3 linked regions of the Drosophila melanogaster genome follow. The protein of the gene in region 1 interacts with the protein of each later gene in a pairwise test. Each region holds a gene or a part of one and is shown on either strand. Other genes may lie near its edges.

Region 1 (5,383 bases):
GAGGGCAGGGAATCCGAGGGCAAATATATTGAGAATCAAGCACACGTACCGAAAGTAACTTAAAGATTTTACTGTGTTTCCAAAACCAGCCTTCATTCTGTGCAAAAGATAAAAGCTCCTTCCCACATCAACAAATAGGGTTGCCATGCTCATGAAAATCCCAAATGCCAAATAGAATGTAAGCCAGAAGAAATATCGGTGATTATTGTGTCCGATGCAAGTGGCTGCGAAGATGCAGTGGTGGTCTCGCTTCAAAATGCAGCATTTACACAGTGCACAGTGCCAGGATCGTGGAGGCATCAGTTTCTGACAGATATCGCAATAATGCCACAGGTGCTCCGTTCCCGGTTTCGGAATTTGCCGCTCCTGAGGCAGACTTTTCACTGCTGAGCTTGTACGGTAGCAGGCCAGCAAGTTTCCCAGGATATTGTATGTTGTAAAAATCGCTGATATCACAAAGAACTTATACATAAAACCATCATGCACATCGGGGGCCACATAAAAGACCTGCAGCGTGAAGAAAAAAACCGTGCTCACCAGTAAAAAAATCACTGACAAAGGATGTCCTATGCTCACGGCCTTCTTAGGATAGAGATTGGCATATTCGCGGCACCAATCATTTACGATACACATGATTGTAGGATTTTGAATACAACACCGTATTTTCCACAACTTGACATTAGATGAAAATAAGTTATGATTGGCTTGTTAAAATCGATATATATTTTTCAATAATTTAGTAATACGTCTATTAATTTAGTGAGACTGCTTCATCTGCCAATGTGCACCGTCATGGGGCAAAGGACTCTTCAGCAAGGGCGATATAAAAGTCCAAAGTCCTCGTTGGCCCATTATTGTCTGGCAGTTCTTTCGGAAACCCAGATCGTAGGTGCAATCAAAAATATTATAGTAGGTAGAGTTTTGGCTTAAAATCTGCATTTGATATGCCAACATAAAGGCAGGCATATAGCTGGCGCTTATATTCAAGAGGAAGGCAATGGTCTCAAAAGTATTGCCAGTATAATTTTGGAAAAAAGTCCTAGTTATTAAATTAAAAATCACAGACGAGAGACTCATGAAGTTACCGCCATTCTGCAGGATAAACATACAAAATGTTGCAAAGCTTGTGACTAAGCCGAGCGTTAAATAAAATGTGAACCAGAAGAAAAAGCGTTGATTATTGTGTCCAATGCAAGTGCCCGTGAATATACAGTGGTGGTCCCGTCTCAAAATGCAGGTGTTGCACAAAACGCAGTGCCAGGATCGTGGCGATCTCAGCTTTTTACACGATTCGCAATAGTGCCACAGGGGCTCATCCTCTGGATTCGGGCATCGGGAGTCCTTGGACAAGGTGTTTACCGATGAGCTAGTCATATAGCAGGCCAGCATGTTACCAAGTATGTTGTGCGTTATGAAGGTGACCAATATCCAGTAGAGCTTGTAAGCAATGTCGCCAAACACTTTGGGCGCAATGTAAAACATCTGCAGTGAGAAGAAGAAAGCTGTGCTGCACAGGACGAAAACTATCGAAAGTGGATGCACTATCCTCACAAAGTTCTTCGGGTAGCGATTGGCAAAGTAATGGCAAAATCTATTCACGTAGCACATTTTTTAGGATTTTGAAAACTTCTGTTGTAAATTATAGACTAAATAGAAACATTTACATCACAGAAGAAGAAACGCCAACCCGACATATTATAATAGAATTTATTCGCTATCTTATATTCAAAGTTTTTACAAACAAAATTTACACTGTCTGCTTCTGGAACCACTGAGTGCCATCGGTAGGAAGAGGACTTGAGATCGTTGGAGAGAAAAAAATCCAGAAGCGCCGTTTTCCCAAGACCATATCAAAATTTCTTCTCCAACCAACATCATAGCTGCGATCGAGCATCTTATAGCATGTACTATTCCGATATACCATTATCATTTGAAAGACGAACATGAAGAGGGGGACGCCAAAAAGAAATAAATTCAGTTTGAAAAGGTTGGCGATTGTGTACTTCCATTTGAAATCAGCATCTTGGGTTGTATCCTGGAACATTAGCAACAAAGGATCGACGACCAAAAAGGCCTTGTTTGTCCAATTCAAAATGCCATTGTAGACGAGCGCCTGTCCGCTGCCAAAGCTCAGGTGAAACAAGAAGGCAAGGAAATACCTCTGATTTTTATGGCCAATGCAACTGGCAAAGAAGGTGCAGTGGTGATCCCGCTTCAGAATGCAAATGTTGCACAAACTACAGTGCCAGGACCTCGGTGGCACCAGCTTTTGGCATGTGGAGCAGTAGTGCCACAGGTGAGCCTCACCTGCCACAGGATACTGTCTTTCCAGAACTAAGCTATCGACTGAGGTATTGGTCATACAGCCGAGCCACCAGTTGCCCAATATATTGATGACTGTATAAATTCCCATAAACCAACACAATTTGTGCCATATACCATGGGGATCAGTTATTTGCGGCAAAACGTAGCATAATTCATAGACAAACAGCAATCCAATCAGACAGAGTAAAAATATTGCACAAAACGGATGAAGTAGGCCCATAACTTTTATGCGATGTAGTTGAAAGTGACGATGAAACCCTTCCTCGGCTCGAAAACACATTCTTCTACTCCAACCGCAAGTAGATCTTAATAAAACTCGAAATCGAAGCATTTATAAATGACAGACGTATTGTTAAATTTATCAAATAAATTATTTTTAATAGACTTTGGGCACCAGAACTGCCTTGATTTGGAAATATGTATCTAACTGACATAATCGCATCACCCACTGAATTGTAAAAATCTGGCATTGTATGTATGTGTACTTTGGTGGGTGGTTTCAAATTCAATTTCTTTTCCTTTTTAAGCGGATTATTGCGAAATTACGTTTTATAATTGCTGGCGTCATTTGTGAAGGCAGAAAATTTTTATTTAAGTGGCGCTTCTAAGTGAATTCTACAATTCAAAAGATTTGGCTTATGGAATGTTTTCACCTAAAAGTTTCTCAAATTTTTACTTCATTTTCAAAGCAGTATAGGCAAAACCTTGCTTATAAAGCAAGCTTATAAGCAGAAAATAAATTGAAATAAAAAAAACAATGGAGGGAAAAAGGGCATCAGCATGGCAAAATATGGTATTTTGCAGCAGCTGTATGTTGTATAAACAAAGAGCAGAATAAAAACAACGAGGAATGCATATCAAATACATGTAGGAAACAGCTGGGTTAAGTCGACTTCATCAGCCCAGCGACCGCAAAATGGCAGCTGTCGGCCAGGTTTAGACCGCAGGAACGAATGTTGTCTATTTCGCATAAATTTTTATGAATTATTAATATGAACTAAGCATTTTGAATGTGGCCTGGTCGGGTGGGAAAGCTGGTGAGGACGCGGTTTTTCATTTTAAGTTCACTGAGGTGTATGGCACACCTATTGAGGTGGTTTTTCTTTTTGCCGTAAAGTAGAGTGGCAGTTTGCTTTTCGTTTGCATAAAATATGTACGATGGGGCGGGGCGGGACTTTCCTCACTTCGTGGCTAAATGTGTTTGCCGTCTTTGGCCTAGACCGGAAGCAAACAAACAGCCATTTTGTGCTGCTATTCGACGCAGCCATTTCCGGCAGCCACTCGGCGCCGTCGATGTGTTTGTCAGTCAACCTGTGGCTTGACTTTCCCCCACTTTCGCTTAGCTCTTTCTTTGACTTTCTGTGGGCACTACGAGTCATTAGCATTTGCTTGGTGTAGGTGGAGGGGCATACAAAAAATGAGAATGGCTTGCGGAGTTGGCAACTGCTTTTGGCCAAGTTCTCGCATAATTGCCGAGTTTTGCTGCTAATTTAAGATGCTTTGCCCCCATGGCAGTCAGCTCGCATTCGGTGTCTTTGTTTGATTTCATTACGAGCGGAGACTCTCAACTACAGACAGCTGTGCCGCAAAGTTTTTCGCAGTTAGGAGTTTGCACATTTTGTCTCCCCTCGTTTTTATTTCCCTGGGAAGGTCGGGAGTATTACTGTGTAATTTGCAAGCAATTACCTGGTAGGGGCAACCCACATAACTTTCCCCCATTAGCCCATATCTGCCAGATCTCACGGCGCGACTTCTTGGAATGTAATTGAGTTTGGAAAATGTGTAAAATTAGATATGTGCGTGTCTCAAGCCAGGAAAGCACCTGCGTGAAAAGCCAGATGAAAGTGTGTCTATCCACATATAATCGACGGGGAAATACCGCGTGGTATGAACAATGTTGAGTATATTTTTTATGACGTTGCAATTAAAATATTGTTTAGCTAAAAAAAATGACTATGATTGTACTGAATAATATACTAGTGCTCCCATTCACTTTATACTCAGAGGAATTAACTTACAGAGGATTCAAAATTTTAGCAGGAACACAAAATCTGAGCAATTTCGAATGTCACAAGCTTATAGAATTGCCTTCTTAGTACTCCATTTAATGTTTTGCCATTTCAGGATAAGTAATGATTGTAAGTACTGGCGCACGTGTGCCAGGTATGCCATTAATATTATTCTACGTTGAGAATATTCTTTTTTTAGGTTAAGATCCCTTTCAGTCTCAACCATACTCAGCAATTACTGTGCAGGCCAGGTTGCACACTTTAATTTATTTTGCTATTTATCTAAGCTTGCGGCAAAACATTAAATTAACATATGTGCCCCTGGCAAATGGGATGCTTTCTGCCCAAAAACCTTTATGCTGCTCTGAAGATATTGCATCAGAATGCTCGGTTGGCACCTGGTCTCGATTTATTGTGCTCGATTGCTCCGAGCCAATGCAGCAAGCAAAATTGTAATGAACCATCAAACGGCAATTGAAGCTGTTCAATGCTCGGCGGCAACGTTGCGTATGAGTGATTTCGCAAAAGCGAGCCAGCTGTTCTGCTCGTTCGCAGTGGATGCTTTTCTACGAGAACTCCATTTTGTTGAGTTGCCTCGGTGCCAAAATATGTGTGCCTGTATGGCATGTAAAATATTTGGCACTTGCCACACAAAATGGCTTGTCATTTGGGCGAAATGAGTTGGAAGTTTCACGTAAACGAAACGAAAATTTTACTTTTTTTCATTTCGCCTTTGCAAAATATGTTTTATTTATTATTATTTTTTTTTTTTTTTTTTTTTGGGTTACTTCGTTTTTGTAGCCGGTCGCGACATATTTTTCGCTGCTCATGTTGTTGTTTCATTTTCGTTTTCATAAATTTTTCATTTTGCATGTCAATGTTTTGCGCCTTCGACATGTGTTTGCAATTTGCATGAGGTGAGTTTGGGTTTGGTGGCAGCATAGCGTGCTTGTGTGCAAAAATTGGAACGAACATGGCCTGTGTTTGTGTGCAGGACCTTTTCGGATACAATGTCTGATGATTGATACTCTGTGGGCGTAAAGTATTTA
Region 2 (4,722 bases), on another chromosome or scaffold:
TTCGTGGGACTTTTTTTAATGCATTTCGCTGAATAGTTTATTTTAATGCATATTTCCAAAGAGATTTTTTTTTGTGTAAGATTTAAGATGTTTAAATTAAAGTCAGCGAGAAGATTTTTGAAGGGATTTAGCTGGTTGCTGTCGGAAAACAATGGCAACTCGAATTTCCAGACTAGTTTCCTTAATCCGTGAAATTTCTGAGCATCCTCACAGATTTCCCAACGCTTCCTGATCGTAAATTAAAAGCGAATAATAATCTGAGCTGCGCGCAGATCAGATAAGATCAGCTTAGTTTGTTCTGCTCACTTCGAGGCTCGTTTATTACACGTTCAATGTGGGTCAATGAAACAAGATCATGATTTTTCACAAAACCAACGGCTACATAGTCGCTACACACATTACACACGACACAGCACATACACACATATATATATTAAAAAAAAAAAACCGATTGCTGATAAATACACCGTACAATTTCAATGAGCATTTAATCAAGCCAAGAACTTGCCTTGGCATTTGATTGTCAAAAAACGAAAAAAAATAATACCAGAGTACAGACCAATCCATGCCGAAACCACAGGCCATTGAAGGCAATGCCCAAAGGAGGCGGTGGTGTGGTGGGGCTTACAGAAGAAGGGGCGGGGTCGTCGGTGCTAACACACTTATCTGTGTCACCTCGATTAGTCGTTAAATTCGTGTACAAAAAAAAAAAATCTGAAATGCACTGAGCGAAAAGCGGTTGTTAAAGTCGGTAAATTACGGTATAGAATATGTAAAATGGTATTCAATACTTTTGAGACTAGTTCTTATCACGGCATTCATAGTTGAAGATTTCTGTAATTTTATTATTCTCAGCATAAATTGTAGTTCTGAGTGCCTAAATCATTATGGTATTGAAGCGTGTAATGTGTAGTTCTTTGAGACCTTGTGGAACTTGCCACTGAAAAGGGCTTTACATTCCTCTCCGAAAAGTAAAAGGGCATCCAAACAAGTAGAACAGGGAAGAATCTCGAGATCGTGTGGAACTCGTTTTCCGATTCCGAACTCTAACTGTAAACGGGTACGAAGATCATGTAGCAAAAACAAAATAATAATAAGACAGATACCAGGAAGCTATTGAAGGATCAAAAAAAAAAAAAAGATGAAAAATGGAAAACAGAAACGAGTTCAACTTTTTCAAGGCGCCTTGGACAACGAAACCAGTTTGGGGAAAGGGAAAAAGAATGCACTTAAGGTCCCCCGCCCAATGCAACTTCTCCCCCGATTATCATAATCATTATCAATATGCAACAAAATGATCATTAAACCAATGCGATCTTCTTATTTTCTGCCTGCTCTTGTCGCTTGGACTTTGAACCGCGCCGGCTATTAAAGATGATGTGTGTATAAAAGTATAAAAGCAACATTTTTACATCGCTCAGTCGGATTCGGTTTTTCGCATCGAGCTGTAAAAACGAAATACAAAAACAAAACAAAAATCCAAAAAAGAAAAAAAAAAAAACCAAACGGCCATATGAATAAATAAATAAGCGAAGTGCCGAAACAAAACAAAACGAAACAACGAATTTTTCAACCTGTTTTCGAAGCGTTTCGAGTGCGTTTTACGAGCGTTTTCTAAGCGTTGCAAAATGCTTAAAAACGTTACGTTTGGGCGTTTTTCTGTCGATTTTCACGCGTCTCATGCATTATACTAAGTTGTATTTCTTTTTTTATTTAAATAGCTGGTAGATACAAACAATTAAAGCAACTGCAGAGCAAATTTACCAACAAACAAAGCAACAACACACAAAACAAATGTACAAAGTCAATCCAAAATTACAAATATTAATTTAAAACACAAAGAAACAATTAAATGTGCCAACAATATTTACCAAATCAACAAAAACAATACAAGTCAGAGGGAAGACAACAAAATCGATGCCTGTAAACATAATTATAAAATATACTAAAAGCACTTATCCCAAAAAGAGAACGAGAAACTCGAGGAGAGAGTAGAAAGAGTGGAAAGAACAATCACTAATCGAAAATAAATTAATTGCACCACAAATAGCCATAAGAGTTAATTAAAGTTATTTAAAGAGTCCAGTGAAAATCAATCAAAATGCGATTCACCTACAATCAGTATAAACATTATGAGTCCGGTTATCGGATTCCATCTAAAATGCATAATCTGAGCCATAATAACAACAATAATAGTAATAATAATAATAATGGGGGTGGCCACACCAACAACAACAACAATGGCAACAATAGTGGCCATCACTATGCCCATCACAATAATAGCAACAATGGCGGCAATAACAACACAAATTTCCAAGCCTATCAGCATCATTACAAAAGTAATTTCGGTAAGAATGTGTTACGAGATGTAGTATGAAATACAATAGAAAGTATCCTTAAGATATTTGCATAAGAAAAGTTCGTTCAAATCTTGTACTTACACTCTGAGTACTCATGAATGTTTGATTAGTGCCCAACATTCTGTTATTGTATCAATTTTATAGGTGCCCCATAAAGATATATACCCCTTCGTTTCTCGAAAATTATGAGTTTCTAATATCTTGCTACGGTTTTTCGATAGTTAGACCTCGCTGGAATGCCAGCTGACAACAAGAGTTAAACGTTTTTTATTCACCAATTTGTATTTGTATGTATGTACAAACATACATTCGAAATCCAGACATCGCCTTAATTGTACTATCCCAACATCAAATGCTAATGGGCTGGCTTATCGGCAAACACGCCACAGTTGTTTAGGCGAATCAAAAAAGAAAAACAAATCTCTTGTTGCGCCTCCGCTCTCTGATAACATGTCATAATCGATATGGATGGGTGTTCCAGGCCGATATTTCCTAGCCAGCCAGCCCAGCAAAAGATCCAAACATTCAAGCACAAAATGTCGAGGTCCCCAATCTCCGATTACGCGAGAGGCGCCAGTTGTCTCCGGTGATTCAATTCCATGCTCCTTCATATCGGTTTTACTTCTTGGTCGGTTGTCGGTTCTTGTTTAACGCTTTTCGCCAGTTGCCAAGTTTGGCCGAGCGATAAGATTACTGGCAAAACAGTAAAACTATAGCCAAGACGCAGGCATTTCAATCAAACGCCCGAACCACTTGACCAGTCCGCTAATTGGATTGTGGGGAGATGGTAACAAAAATGAGATCAGCATGGAGAAGAAGTGATTGTTGAGCGATCTAAACAAAATATGCATGGAAAAGTAATTGAATATTTCTATTAAAGATGTGGAACATTTTAAAGTACCTACAACCATCTACTTTCAATTGAACAAATTGGCCCGACTTCTTAGGTTTTCATTTCCGCTATGACATGGTTTTCGATCCACTTGACCGGTAGGGGCTCATCTTTCACCGTAGTGAAGGATGTACAATAGCGTACCGGGAGGGGGGGTGTTAGGGGGGTGGAGCACAGTGGGTCACAGTGGGCTGGGTTCAATACACTTAATTTATTGTTTTTATTGACAATCTGTTTTGGATTCACCTCTACGAAGCTGTTATTTCGTCCGGAGGAGTCTGCGTTTAATTATAGAAATTGCAAATTCCCGAGACAACCAACATCTGTGTTTAACTATTCAGGTTGATTCTTTACACCAACCTCGCCCTGATCTCCGCTGTGAATTGAATTAAAGTCACCTTATTCGTTTTGTCAGCCAATTGAGTGCAAAGCCTGAGTCTGCTTCTGGTGTATCATCCTAGATAGACGAAAGTGGCTTTAGGCTAGCTCCGATTGTCATATCGTTAACGTATCCATTTAACCGCAGTATCTTTAGTATCTATATCTGCATATGTATCTGTATCTGCATCTGTATCTGTATCTGTATCTGCATATATATCTGTATCTGCATCTGTATCTGCATCTGTATCTGTATCTGCTCTGTAATAAGACGACAGTTTAGCTGCTTGGAAACAATGGGCGCATATCGCCGCGTATCATCTACCACCACCCACCCCGCCACGGATCCCAACCCGTGTATCTGCCTTATCTGCAGCCGTGCCAGGTAAAGCCCATTTGGCGGGATCCGTTCTGCGGGTTCCCGCTTTTGTGTGCAGGTAGTTGGGCGCGTTCCGCAAGCCCAACAATAAATGTTTGCCTCTTTGTTTGATTGCCAGCCAAGGTTAGGCCAAAAGGGTGCGGATCGCGTGGGTGTTATTTATTTATTTATTTATTTTTTTTTGTACCTATGCCCTCTTGACAAGAGCCAAGAGTCGAACAGATTTTCTCACCTTCCTAATTTGTGTACCACCCATGTATGTCTACATAATTTCCATCTTTTTCCGAATTTGTTTTTTTTGGGAGCGCAACGCACGTCACCGAGGGATATTCGTAATTGAAGATCAAAGTTTGTTTGCTTTCGTTGCTGCTATCAAAGGCGCTATTGTTTGCTCGATTCTTATCTCATAAATTAGCTCGTAATTGTTTAACGATTTTACCGGAATTAAGGAACGGAACATAGTTTCATGGGAGATTTCTACAGAATTAAATGGATTTCGTTGGGAATTGGGCGTTCGAATTTGACAAAGTAATTTAATAGTTGTGAGCTTATTTTTATGGAAGGTTTCTTTTTAGAATTACGCCTTTTATTTGTCATCATTTACTGCATTTGACACTTTTTTATATTTGATTGTTTGCATTTATCTATGTTTTCCCATTGGAAGCGAAAGGAGCTATTTTATCTGTAAATGCATATTAAGCTTAGGCAGTTGA
Region 3 (3,245 bases), on another chromosome or scaffold:
TAGCAATGTTATTGGGCTAGCTCCAAACCATGAATCCCATACGAGTGCATACAAATCAAATCCGATCCCAGGTCCAGCTGGATTTTTGGACTCTACTCGTATAGGGTCGGTCAGTACATAATGAATTTGTGAACCTGTAATTGCGTTTCCCAACGGCGGACAATCAGCTGCTCCGTGCCGGGATCGACGGCACAGACCATATAGCGATATTCCGTGTCACAGTGACGCGGAATATAGATCTCTCCTGTCCACAGATTACTATACTCATTGTCCTCCTCATTTTTGGACAAAATAGCCGCTCCCGAGTGCTGCCAGTTGCCCAGCGCCTCGCAATTACCCACTATGGCCAACTGCTCGTTGGGCGCCAGATCCTGGTTCATCAGCACCCGAAAGGTCCACAGTCTGTTGGTGGTAATGTCGCCAAAGATCCGGCGGGACTCCAATCGACTGCCGTTTTCCGAGGACGCAGGACAGGATGATGGCGCAGCCATCGCATCCTCATCGCCGTTATGTGAGGCCAGCCAGTTGTGCATTCTGTGGGGATGGATAATAATTAATATCTATATATAATCCTTAGCTATATACACTTTGAATAATAGTAGTTAGCAGCAAAGAACTAAACTAATTGTTGAAACTCAGTATAATTGTATTGTATTGCATGCGCACAAGTAATTTATGCCAACTCTCTCTTTTTTTCGAGTACTACTGTGCTCGTTAGCGTATACGCACTGTACTTCAATTATTTTCAGCTGCGGTCACAAGTTGTTTATTGTATCGAGCGCAAGTAATTCGAAGATATTAACACAACATTAATTTCACTTGCAGTCCGCAATTGTTTTTGGTTTCCCTTATCAGTGGATGACGTAAATAAATAACTTGTATCACTTACTTTGCGTTGTTGTGTGCTGAAATAGAAGAATAAGCCGAAATCGCTTTGTTTGGATTCGATTTCTCGCTCTCCTCCACTTTCTCTCTCTTTGATTTTCCTAGATTTTCTGTGATTTTCCTACGCGTACACGAAACTATAACAAACGTGTGCAAATTGAGGAGTCGCCCGATTTTTTGATCATAGCAGCTGTTTTTGGTTTTTGCTCACGGATTTCAGCTAACAACACATGATGTTTTTCTCTTTTCGTGGCGGGGGGGCTTAACTCTATAATGTGGATATAACTTTATATTATCTGAACGATTTCAGCGCCGCAGGGGCTTCCGATCCCCTTGAAACTGTGAGTTGCATTATTTTGTTATCTATATATCCACTGACCGATTCTAGCGAGGGATGTGAAAAGTATTTGAATGTCAAGATATCGATAGGTTTTTGATGAAGTAAATATTTTCACAATGCTAAATGCCTAAAGCACTTAAAAATAGTAGATGCCTTTTTAGATATATACTACATACTACTTACTTACACGCACTTAAAATACAAGTTTTATATTTGATATTTGAGCGCATTCTCACAGGTTGGCAACGCGAACAGCTGATTTTTAGGGTGACCGTCTTCCGCAACAGAGTATCTCACAGTTTTCGAAAAGTATCTCAGCAATTTAGGCAAAGTTTCTGAACTTTCAGTTACTACTTAATAAAAAGTTTGTTGGTTGTTTACCTAGCTCAAGAGATTCTTTCAGATTTAATTTAATAAAACCGGTAGCTTAGGATTATAAAATTAACTTTGACTTTATTTAATGTCCCTCCCGCGCGAATGCAGCTTAGTAAAAATGAGTCATAGTGTTCAGATCTGCCTACATTCCAGAAGCTTGCAGTATTCAGTAGACATCAGTCGAGCGCAGAAGCTCTTCGTGATAAGACGTCTTCAATTCAAATTTTTTTTATCGAACACACCATGGAGGGGGACAAGGTAGTTTTTCATAGTTCTGATCTACCATACGAATATTTATACGACGACGAAAAACACGTTTCGCACATGCCGGATTCCAAATTAAGTGTACGAAATATTTTGGATTCAGCTTACGCTTCTGCTGAAGGCAAAATTATAACTAGGAAACTTTCGCGCAGCATTCCGCCGTATCCGCATGCTGTTCGAGTAAAAAATGGCATTCGTGTTTATGAATACAGTGAGCCCAGAAAACAGAGCTACAAATCAAGTTTATGGAAGGAGGCCTACAATGTGAGTAGGAATCGAAGAACACATGCTGGACATTTTACTTGCTTTATTTCAGATACTCCACCAGCGGTTGGATATTGCCGAGCCAATCGCAGCAAAGGAACACGTGAGAACGCAGATACATCCGTGTCTGCACAAGATCAAAGGACTTCTAGATCCGGAAACCTGCATCAAGTGTCCGCGGTGTCATAAGTCCATTTCGTCCACCAAAGTTGTGAAAAGCTTTGCATAGTGACGAATGCAAGCCACCTTCAACATATATATCTATTATAGAGGTTCAATATATGCTCAAATCAACACATGCATTTATATATATATATAATATAAACAAAGAATGCAACAGCCCTACAGATGAATCGTCATTTTCTTCTGTCATTTTGCTAGCTGTAATTAAAAGGGAACGGGAAATGTGCTCTCGCTTACTGATTATAGATAATGACTTTGATTTTGAAATAAGGAATGCAAAGAATACTCATTTTCGTATTCACTTCCATTTTGGCGGACTTTCTTTATCAGTAAACAAAGTGGAAGAAGAAGAAACGAGAAAGGTAAACAAGTCAATACAAAACAGTTGTTTGGAAAATGTGCCATAGTTACCAAGTGCCTGCACCAATTTTAATATCAAAACCAATTATTGAAACTAGTTATATAAGTATTTTTATTTACATTCAATGCATTTATAAATAAAATAAATCAAATAATTTAAGCTTACTAAATCAATCAGCTTGTGACAGCCATCACTTTGATAACGATAGTTGGCAACTCTGCCATCGAACAGCTGTTAATGTTTGCCATTTTGGCGCGAAAATACCAGTGTAACAATTTGTTTATATATAATAGGATTTTATTAAGTTGTTTGTTGGACGCTCGTTTGAAACCAGTATGGATCAGTATCCGGACGAAAACGAGGAGTTCGAGCTGCAATACCAAGACGAACTAGAGCTGCTGGAGGACTTGCCGGACGAGTTTAACGCGTACGATGGACCGAGCACATCCAAACAGGCCGCTGAAAAGCAAAAGGAAAACAGAGCTCCCGTTGCGGCACTAAGAGATAGCACCCGTCTTGGAAACTCTACACTGGGATCGCCACAGCTGTCGCAGATTACCTTTGGAGCTAGCC

The links. The genes of interacting proteins can lie anywhere in the genome.
Region 2: the proteins of CG4956 (region 1) and NFAT interact in a two-hybrid assay, tested with the Drosophila melanogaster proteins (one large-scale study listed by BioGRID).
Region 3: the proteins of CG4956 (region 1) and CG31955 interact in a two-hybrid assay, tested with the Drosophila melanogaster proteins (one large-scale study listed by BioGRID).

The regions. Positions count from the first base shown.
Region 1 is NT_033777.3:25,775,574-25,780,956, forward strand, and holds CG4956 (uncharacterized protein), read right to left. Parts: upstream 2,733-5,383; 5' UTR 2,657-2,732; coding exon 1,748-2,656; 3' UTR 1,695-1,747; downstream 1-1,694. Other genes in the region: CG17196 (uncharacterized protein), read right to left, coding at 1-633; CG17195 (uncharacterized protein), read right to left, coding at 757-1,608.
Region 2 is NC_004354.4:13,643,457-13,648,178, forward strand, and holds the start of NFAT (NFAT nuclear factor), read left to right. Parts: upstream 1-1,722; 5' UTR 1,723-2,101; coding exon 2,102-2,348; intron 2,349-4,722.
Region 3 is NT_033779.5:3,711,381-3,714,625, reverse strand, and holds CG31955 (uncharacterized protein), read left to right. Parts: upstream 1-1,759; 5' UTR 1,760-1,843; coding exon 1,844-2,128; intron 2,129-2,180; coding exon 2,181-2,357; 3' UTR 2,358-2,400; exon of another isoform or gene 2,401-2,472; intron 2,473-2,557; 3' UTR 2,558-2,745; downstream 2,746-3,245. Other genes in the region: CG2818 (uncharacterized protein), read right to left, coding at 135-533; cutlet, read left to right, coding at 3,008-3,245.